Linked DNA regions of Drosophila melanogaster. The gene in region 1 interacts genetically with each later gene. Each region holds a gene or a part of one and is shown on either strand. Other genes may lie near its edges. The genes, in order: rst and morgue.

Evidence for each region.
Region 2: of rst (region 1) and morgue, changing one enhances a phenotype caused by changing the other (phenotypic enhancement), as found in Drosophila melanogaster (one study listed by BioGRID).

Annotation. Positions count from the first base shown.
Region 1 is NC_004354.4:2,970,762-2,975,750, forward strand, and holds the start of rst (roughest), read right to left. Parts: upstream 3,074-4,989; 5' UTR 2,640-3,073; intron 1-2,639. UniProt on the Drosophila melanogaster protein: Required for correct axonal pathway formation in the optic lobe and for programmed cell death in the developing retina.
Region 2 is NT_033779.5:4,442,056-4,446,257, reverse strand, and holds morgue (modifier of rpr and grim, ubiquitously expressed), read left to right. Parts: upstream 1-1,577; 5' UTR 1,578-1,650; coding exon 1,651-1,794; intron 1,795-1,856; coding exon 1,857-3,188; 3' UTR 3,189-3,388; downstream 3,389-4,202. Other genes in the region: Elp3 (elongator complex protein 3), read right to left, coding at 1-146, 200-1,065, 1,122-1,363, 1,426-1,447; CG15432 (uncharacterized protein), read right to left, coding at 3,404-3,760.

The DNA.
Region 1 (4,989 bases):
TTTGAGGTCAGAACCCCCCCCCCTTATAGCCTCCTCCTAATGATGATGGCTTGACAAATATTTATTGCTTAAGCATTTGAGTGCAAATATTTTAATTAGTCTGGCGACAAGACAACAGATCTGGAAATGGAAAGTATAGATGGAACTGGATCTGGGATTCGGACTTCTGGACTTCTGGATTCTGGGCCCCATTTCTCAACGCTGATGAGGCTTAATGAACTGCAAAGCGGCCCTCAATTGTCTTCAATTAACCAAATTAACCAAGGGATAAATTGCTTGCCTTTCGAATGCCCTCGTCTGCATTTCTTTTTAGAGATGAGATGAGAAATTAGCTGGCAGATGCAAATACCAGGCAATAAGTCTTTTCTTATTGTACCTAAATGATATAAAATACCAATTATTCATTAAACGAAGCACTTTCTTAAACAAAAAAAAAAAACAGGCAAAACGGATGAGCGCAGCAGTCAAATCGGTGGAACCGATACGGCAGAAACTGTCAAAAAGCCTGACAGCTCCGCTCTCAAGGTAATCCATCCAGCGCGGTGGGGCAAAAGGGGGTGACGAACATAATTTGTGGCATGCAAAGAACTAACAAAGCGACAGGCAGGCGAAAAAAAAAAAACAAAAAAAATGCAAAATCGCAGGGCGAAATTGAAAAGGAAAAATAAGTTTCGACATGCTGACGAGGACGCGTCAAAACGATCCAACAAATGCGGCCTCGCCAATCGATAACACAGCAACAAAAAGTGCAGGAGAAATACAGGCGGCAGCAACAACTTGCGACATGAGCATGTTGCACTTCCTGCCACGCCTACCGAACGCCTCTTTTGCCATCCTTTTCCCACACTCCCCAATTTCCTCCTGTCGATTGTTTCAGACGTTTTTAGCAATTTGCAATGCCAGCAAATTGGGCCAAATTATAAAATCCAAAAGCTACACACACGTTCCCAAATACACTTTAAAAATATTTTTTCTTTTTGTTTTCAAACCAAAAAACTTAATAACGTTATTCAAAATGAATTTATAGGAGCTTCAATCAAGATAAATAAGTATGAAAATAAGTTAATTTCAATTAAAAAAAAAAAGAACAAATACTTTTTCTGGTCAAAGACTAACTTTTTTTGAGACTAGTTTTCTTAATCGTGCTTTAGCAAATCTCCCAGCCAATCAATATTTTTCCGGTGTTTATCATGCGACATATATGAACCCAGAGGATGGAGCAGAGTAAGTAAAAGGTTAGCTTGCCAAAGAAGATTGAAACTTTGCTTGCTTTTTTAATGACAAGGGACAGGTGCGTGAGTCTGAAGATACGCTTGTATATGCATTTGCAGATGTTTGAGTATCTGTGTGCAATGTATCGATGTATTGGTAAAGCTTCTGGGCCTTCAGCTTCTTTAGCTCGCATTTCTGTTCTTTAACACCACAGCCGCTAGCAACATTTTCTTCGCTTACAGCTGGGGGGAGTTACACAGAGAAAAATTTTATGAGTAATAAATAAATTTCTATTGGATTTGGAATAATTGATTTATGATTTTTGAATGTGTCAATAAGAGAGTCGAATTACTGGCATTTCACTTAATCAATGACAAAAGGAATTAAATGTATTTGCAAATTTATTTACTTAAAACCAAATGAATTAATCCATAAATGTCAGAAATAAACCATTGAAATAGGTATACCATTCGAATGTTATAAATAAATATACGCATTAAAGAATTACACCAAAGCGCACATTTAATATACATTGCCTATTATGTAGATTAAAACTTGAAGTTGAATGTTATACTCATTAAAGTTTATCGTTTGCCGTAAATTATTCAGAATGATTTTAGCATTGTTTAGCATATATTCAAGTAGATTTTTTGTTTGTGTACATACTTGTATACGAACAAAAAATCATTCTATACATTTAATATTAATTTTTCAACTTAAGTGCTTACGAAATGCCTAATCGTTGACTAGCTTTGTACATTTTGTTTTTCAAAGTTATTGCTTTAAATCATAAATCATGCAAAACCAAGGAAAGAAGAGATCGAATCAGTTAAGAAGAGCACTTTTTTCTATAGATGCTCAGAGGGATGGAATGGTCAGAAGAAGCTAATTAGGTGTCCAAGGTCTGGAGTTGAAGATCTATTATTGTAGAGGGGAAAGTATATCTGTGATATACAACTTAACATAGATTTTGTATAATAAACCTCATTTTCAGATTGATAAGATCTAAACGTTATTCGAAAGATGGTAATTTAATTTATTTTATATTTTATTACATTTTAATATTTTCAGCAACTAGTACTTGCCATTGGGCATTTCATTAGGCAGAAAGGAAAATATAAATTTTGCTTTAACAAAGTCTACTTACAACCAAAAATCATGCTTCCATTTTCAATTAAAAACACATATATTTTCTTCGAAAAAAAAAAAAATACACTCAAGCAAACTCGAAATCCAAATGCCAAAGTGGCCAAAAGCGAAACTTTTGAGGGGCCAAAAGAGGCGGAGACTTGGCCAGTAACAGTATATTATAAACAAAATCAAACGAAAAGGTCAAAGTGAGGGAGCAGCTGTTGCAGTTGGCGCATGAAAAAAGCCAAAAGCACAGGAGTTTTCTTTAGATTTTACTGATGAACTTTTTTACTCACACTGTTTGTTTGTAATCAATTTAAACAATTTCGGCTCCTTAGTCCTCTTATATGCATATATATTTTTAACTGACTCTGACCGGCCACTGGCACTAATCCATAATTGTTGGGTTGACAATTTTCAGCTTGTTTGGTTTTTCGGGCTTTGTTTTTATGATAGCCTTGTTTATTCCATTTTAAGCACACACTTTTCCACTGGTAATCCACACCAAAATGAAATTTTTTGGCTTGCGTTTGCACCAAAAAAAAAATTGACGTTTAGTTATATATTTCGTTTTAATTATCTGAGATTTACTGAGAGTTTTCTCGGGCGAATATGCGATGCGAGTTCTCGTCTTCGGGGTCTCGAAAAGTATCTGTGAGATACCAGCTATCGAAAGTACGGAGTTTCCGCCGCTACGAAGCGAACGGTACGAGCGAACGGAACGAAGTGCGAACTCGATCCAAAAATCCGACTTCTTCGGCCGGCGCGGCTTGTCTTCAAACAAAACAAAGCGACGCAACATGTTCGATGATGTTGCAAGTGGTGTTTCAGGCTCTAACAGCATGCAACAGGGCTAACAGCGCGGCTCGATGCAACCTCTGTTCTATGTTGTTATTCATTTGGATTATGTTTGGCAGCCAATGTTTTTTTAAATTCCCATATATATGGGATATATGTTTTCATATCATATATTTACTATAAGTTTTCAGATGCAATGTATAAATTATATTAAAAAATATTATAAATTATTTATACGAATCAATTTAGTGTTCGCTATACATATCTTTTTTGTTTCTGTGCACGCAAATTTGGGGATATTGCCAGCCGATGTGCCACGATTTTTGGCCATCTGTCTTTTGGCCTTAATTGCACTCTGATTTGCTGTTAGCAGCGCCACCTTCCGCCAAAAGTGTGGACCACCAACTGTTGCCGGAGAAGATAAAAAACAAAAAAAAAAAGATCACATAAAGTATAAACCCTTTAAACACTGCAGATTGAGATAAAGTAGGAGAATTGGCCGTCAAGAGGTCAATGCTGTCGGGACAGCAGCTGTTCACCAATCTCTCCTCCTTCTTCGCACCCACAATTCTTCCCGTTTTGGTAGAAATCTGCAGTCTTTCTTCCGATTGTGGAATGCCAGAAGGGCTGTGAAGAGCGACATATGGTCCTCTACAGAGCAATTTGAGTAAAAAGTCCAAATCTGTGGCTTGACAAAACGGCGGAAATCCCATGGGAACCACACAGAGAAGTGTTTAACATGATTTTCAAAAAGAAGCTATTAATTTATCATTAAATTAGCTTAATTTTTACATTAAGCAGCCCTTTTTTGAAGTGCCAACATTCCTGCGCTTTTTGCTGCATGCATAATTTTAGTTGGCTTAAGAACATTTCAAATGTCACACTTGTAGTAAAGCCAAGCTCAGCTGAAAACTCAAACACTGTGGGAGCCATTTTACTAGGTGCGACTTGTTAATCAATCGACTGCATGATGAGTTGATTCTAAGTTTTCCCATAATTGAATCGATACACAAGCTGTGCGCTCCACGAGAGATAGGGAGATACAAAAGATACAAAGATACTACCAGCGATGAAGATGGACTGTTGGATGGGAAGATTTCGGCACTGGAGACATGCAAGACCAAAATAAACAAGTTTCGGAAGGGAAATTTATGGCACGATTGCTGCGAACGCAATTTAAACTACGCGTGTGAGGGAGGCACCGCCGGAAAATCGGAAAATTCGGAGCGAGTGATGAAGTGTCGGCTCTCTTCCAATTTTCCGCTCTCTCTTCGCGCCTCTTTCCACGCATTGCTTGCCTTTTCGAGGGGGGATTTTCCAAGCACCGCTGATTTTCTTCGGCTCCCCAAGTAATTGTCATGTAATTTATGGCCGCCGTATGGGAATATCAATGCATTGCGCTCTAAATTTACACAAAGACGAAAGATAAGGCGAACGTTGTTGCATAGTCAGGGCATTTCCTCTACATATGCGTAGTCCAAAATTGTTTATAAACACCCCAACAAACTATAACAAAAAGCCTTTCTCGATAAGAAGGTTCATAGCCAGATCCCATAAATTCCATTCGCAAGATAGGATTTCTGTTGCAGCATTTTGAAACACTATATTACCAATAAAATCGAAATGCATGCACAAGTTTTGTCCTTAAATATTTCAGATAGCTCCCCTATCACGCACACCCTTTTTAACCCCAAACAAATTTGTTATAGCTAATTTGTGGTTTTTTCTTTTCAAATATATAAACTCATGGAATCTATACAACGTTTTAAAGTATTTCTTGAATTCAAGACTTATTTCCATAGCATTGTATCAAATCAAATGCTCTGTTTATCGCTATTTTTAGTTGAC
Region 2 (4,202 bases), on another chromosome or scaffold:
GAATTAGCTCAATTTCGTAAGGGCGCACCTTGTTGTGGATTTCCTGAATGCCAACTTCGCGGGTTCTAACATCGCGGCAAGTGGTTCCAAGATCCTTCATGCGGGCCAGCGCCAGTTCACGGAGATTTCCGTGTTCCACGCCGGAACTAAAATGAAGAAAAATGTCAGGTTTATTTAATATATATATCGGACAAGTTACCTAACAAGCGGCATGGGAATGTCGCGCTGTACGCGGTACACTCGCGTCCATGGTGGTACAAGGGCCAAAATCTTCGCCACTAAGTCCACAAGCATGGATGGCGGATATGACTTATATCGCCCGGTTTTCCATAACTCGTAGAGACCAGTGCCGCGAATGACGAGCGTGGGATAGATCTTTAGGCCGTCAGAGCGGAAGGCAGGGTTCTCAAAGTACTCGATAAACTGCTCGATGTCGCGTTCAAAGTCAACATTGGGAAGATCAGGCATCATGTGCGTCACGATCTTATAGCCAGCATCCTTGCCCAGCTGGAAGCTCTCGCACACCGCTCGCACCGTGTGTCCGCGGTTCGTATCCCTGGCCACGTCTTCGTAAACCGATTGCACACCGATTTCCAGCCGGGTGCAACCATAGCTAAGCATATCCGATATGTGCCGCTTTAGGCAGTAATCTGGCCTTGTTTCTATGGTGATGCCAATGCACTTTGTGCGTGACTTCTCCGAGTAGCGTACGGCTTCCGCCACATTGGCGCTGCTGTGGCCGGAGAGGGCGTCGTGTAGGTTGCGGATAAAGTAGTCGCGGTACTCCTCCGGCAGGCACATGAACGTACCGCCCATTACGATGAACTCCACCTTGTCCACACTGTGTCCCAGCTGCTTCAGCTGTTCAACGCGGTGTCGGGTCTGAAGAAAAGGATCGTACCGCGACCGGATGGCTCGCATCGAGGTCGGCTCGTAGCCTGTGTACGACTGTGTCGAGTACTCAAAGTCGCTGTCCGGTCCGCCGGGACAATAGACGCATATATTGCCGGTCATATTGATGTGCGGACAACGATGCGGCTTGCACATGACGGCGACCACGGCGATCTGGATTGAAATAATTGAAATGAATAGTACGCCTTGTGTAAGCAAGTGCGACTTACGCCACTTGCTGTGCGAATGGGCTTTGCCCTCAGCTTTGGAAGCAGAATTTTTTTGGCGTCCTGCGGCACGGCAGCAATTATGTCGACCAGGCGCGGCGAACTGTCCAGTCCATATTTGGAGGCCACCAATGATTTCATCCGATTAAGGTTTACATCCTTTTTGGCTTCGTGCGCCTTCAGCAGCTCCTGAATGATCTCCCCGATGACGAGCACCTGTCGTTCCTGGCGGCTCAATCCCACGCCTGAAATAATTGGCGGGGTAAACGGACGTTTAAAGAATTACTTTCGTAGCGACGTTACCTACCCAACTTCTTTTTTGCCTTCATTTTGCTGATGAATATCACATAAACTGCACGTGTGAAGTTAGCAGCACTTGTTTTGATTCGGTTATCGACCGACCAATAGTCCGATAACCACAACACTGTTTGACAGGTTTTGAAGCTAACACCACTTGGTAACACTTTTAGATGGTCTATCGTTTGTCGATTATTTATTTGTTTTAGCACCAGTTTCTCGGGAGTTCTGTAAAATGACTAGCTGCGTGCCAGCGCATCAGCAAAAGGACCAGGAGCAGTTGCTAAAGGAACTGGCCAGCAGTGGCGACGAGATGGACGACCCGGACGATCCGGACCAGGAACACCACCAGCTGGTAGAGCCGACCTTCTCTTTTTCGGTATGTATACAATAGGCTAGTTTCTTGCGGGCCGATTAATAAATAGCCTTTCCAATTTGCAGAATAGTAACACCTGCTGGGTGTGCAACGGCTACTATGGGCCCAACTTCGGGGAGCCGTTGTGCGGCGCCTGCCACGCCTTCCTGTACAACGCACAGCGGGCGGAGGAGCTGCTCACGGAGCTTTCCGATGACGAGGATTCTGGGAACGACGAGCCGCCGTTCAAGGACAAGCAGGAAGACGAGGAGACCGAAAACGACGTAGACATCATGGGCTTTGAGGATCTGGAGGACCCCCAACCGGCAGCCGTGCCACAACATCCAAATCCGCAGCCACCAATGGAGCCACAGGATCAACAGCCAGCCCAACCAGTTATAGATCTGCCACAGCCGGTGCCGGAGGCTGCGGCACCACGACGCGAGTCTCCGGAGCGCGACTTTGAGCACGAGAGAGCCATTAATCCCTTCCTGCTGCCCATTAAGCGTCCGCGGGCCACGGCTCCCTTGGCTCTGCCCCATTACATGCATGAGCTGGCCGATGGAAGGGCGCGAGTGCATGAATACAACGCCGCCAGCGGAAGCGGAGCAAGTGGCAGCAGCAGAAACATTGTCAACATAATACCCGTCGAGGTGATGCTGAAAATATTTGCCTATTTGGACGACATGTCGCTGTGGATGGCTAGTGAAGTTTGCAAGCAATGGCACGACATTGTCGGGAAAAACACGGCCCAGAGCATGTGGAAGGCGTATATCAAGCAGCGCTGGCCGCTGTTCGACAGTTTGGCAGACAATCCAAACTGGTATCGGCTGTACGGGGCACTGATGTCTTCCTGCTTCTGTCGCACTTGCCTGATTGAGATGGGCGGTCGGGGTCAGGATGCACAGGAGGCAGATCCACAGCTGGGCGATCGGGAGCCGGGCAATGTAATGCGCAACAACTTTCTGCGCGGTGAAGCCAATCTGCTGAACAGCTACGAATCTGAGGGCATATCGGCCATACCGTTGGATCGGCAAAACAACTACTGGCAGGCGACAATTCTGGGGCCACCGGGCAGTCCCTACGAAGGCGGCAAGTTCTTCCTGTTCATATACTTCCCGGAGCGATATCCGATGACGCCGCCCACAGTACGTTTCCTCACCAAAATCCTGCATCCGAATGTTTCGCGGCATGGGGACGTGGGCATCGACATCTTCCAGCAGCACAACTGGTCTCTGGCGCTGAACGTGGCCAAGGTGCTGCTTTCTGTGCAGAGCCTGCTGACCGATCCGTATACCGAAGTCTGCATGGAGCCTGAACTTGGATACATCTATGAGCACGAGCGCGAAAGGTTCGAGCAACTGGTGCGCGCGTGGACATGGAAGTACGCCATGTACGAGCTAATTGCACCGCGCTAGAAGATCAAAAGCCCTCCAAGGACAATGGACTGAAAGTTGGAAACTACCCCTCTTTACGTTGTAACTACATATGCCTGTGTATTTAGCTTAGTTGTGCCATCTGGATTGTTTATTTTGGCCTCCCCTCTCACTTTTCCTGCGCTCCAGGTTGAAACGTAGTCGAAATTACTTAACCTTATAATAAATGTATGCTTTAAGTTACGAGCGGCGTCGCCTCACTTCGTCCAGGACACCTTGGGGATGTCAAAGTGCTCGGTGAGCGTGTCCAGGTGCTCGTTGAATTTCTCCACGCGCTCCTTGTGGGTGGTTTGTGCCTTGTCCATGATTCGCTTGTTGCGCATCTTTTCCTGCTGCTTCTTACTGGCCAGCTCGGCCTTGGTGAGCTTCCGCTCGTAGCCACTGGTGGCGGAGGAGGATGTGGCCCCCGATTCCGCTATTTGCTGCTCCACGAACGCCTTCTGCAGCTCCTTCTCCTTGTCCTTGCCCTTGTGCTTCTTCTTTTTCTTCTTGAGATCCGAATCGTTCTTTAGTTTAAGCTTGCCCTTGGCCACGCAGGCGTACTCGTCGGACATGTCTTTAATGGGTTTTCAATCTGGAAATGGATTGGTAATGAATCCGATCTGTTTACGTTTTTCTTGTTTTTGTTTACACCAACTGCACGTTGTTATCTTTACATAATTTCTGATATTCGATGTTATTACCTGACCAGAAATATATCGATGGCATTTTATCGAATACATTTGAAATGTTACAAAATACGTTATTTTTGTTTGTTTTTTGTGGTAAGTTTCCTTAATCTAACAAGAAATAACTTAAAAACCTCTAATATAAATAAAAACAGTCCTGTAAGACTAAAAATAGTTGTTCAAGACATTACATACATTCAACTGTTAGAATACAAAATGTAAAACTTAAACGGTATTACCCATGGTAATTGAGATGATAAGCGAATAAAATCTTAAATTAACGAAATTAGCGAGCCTTGACGGCTAACTCCGGATTTTTTATCATTAC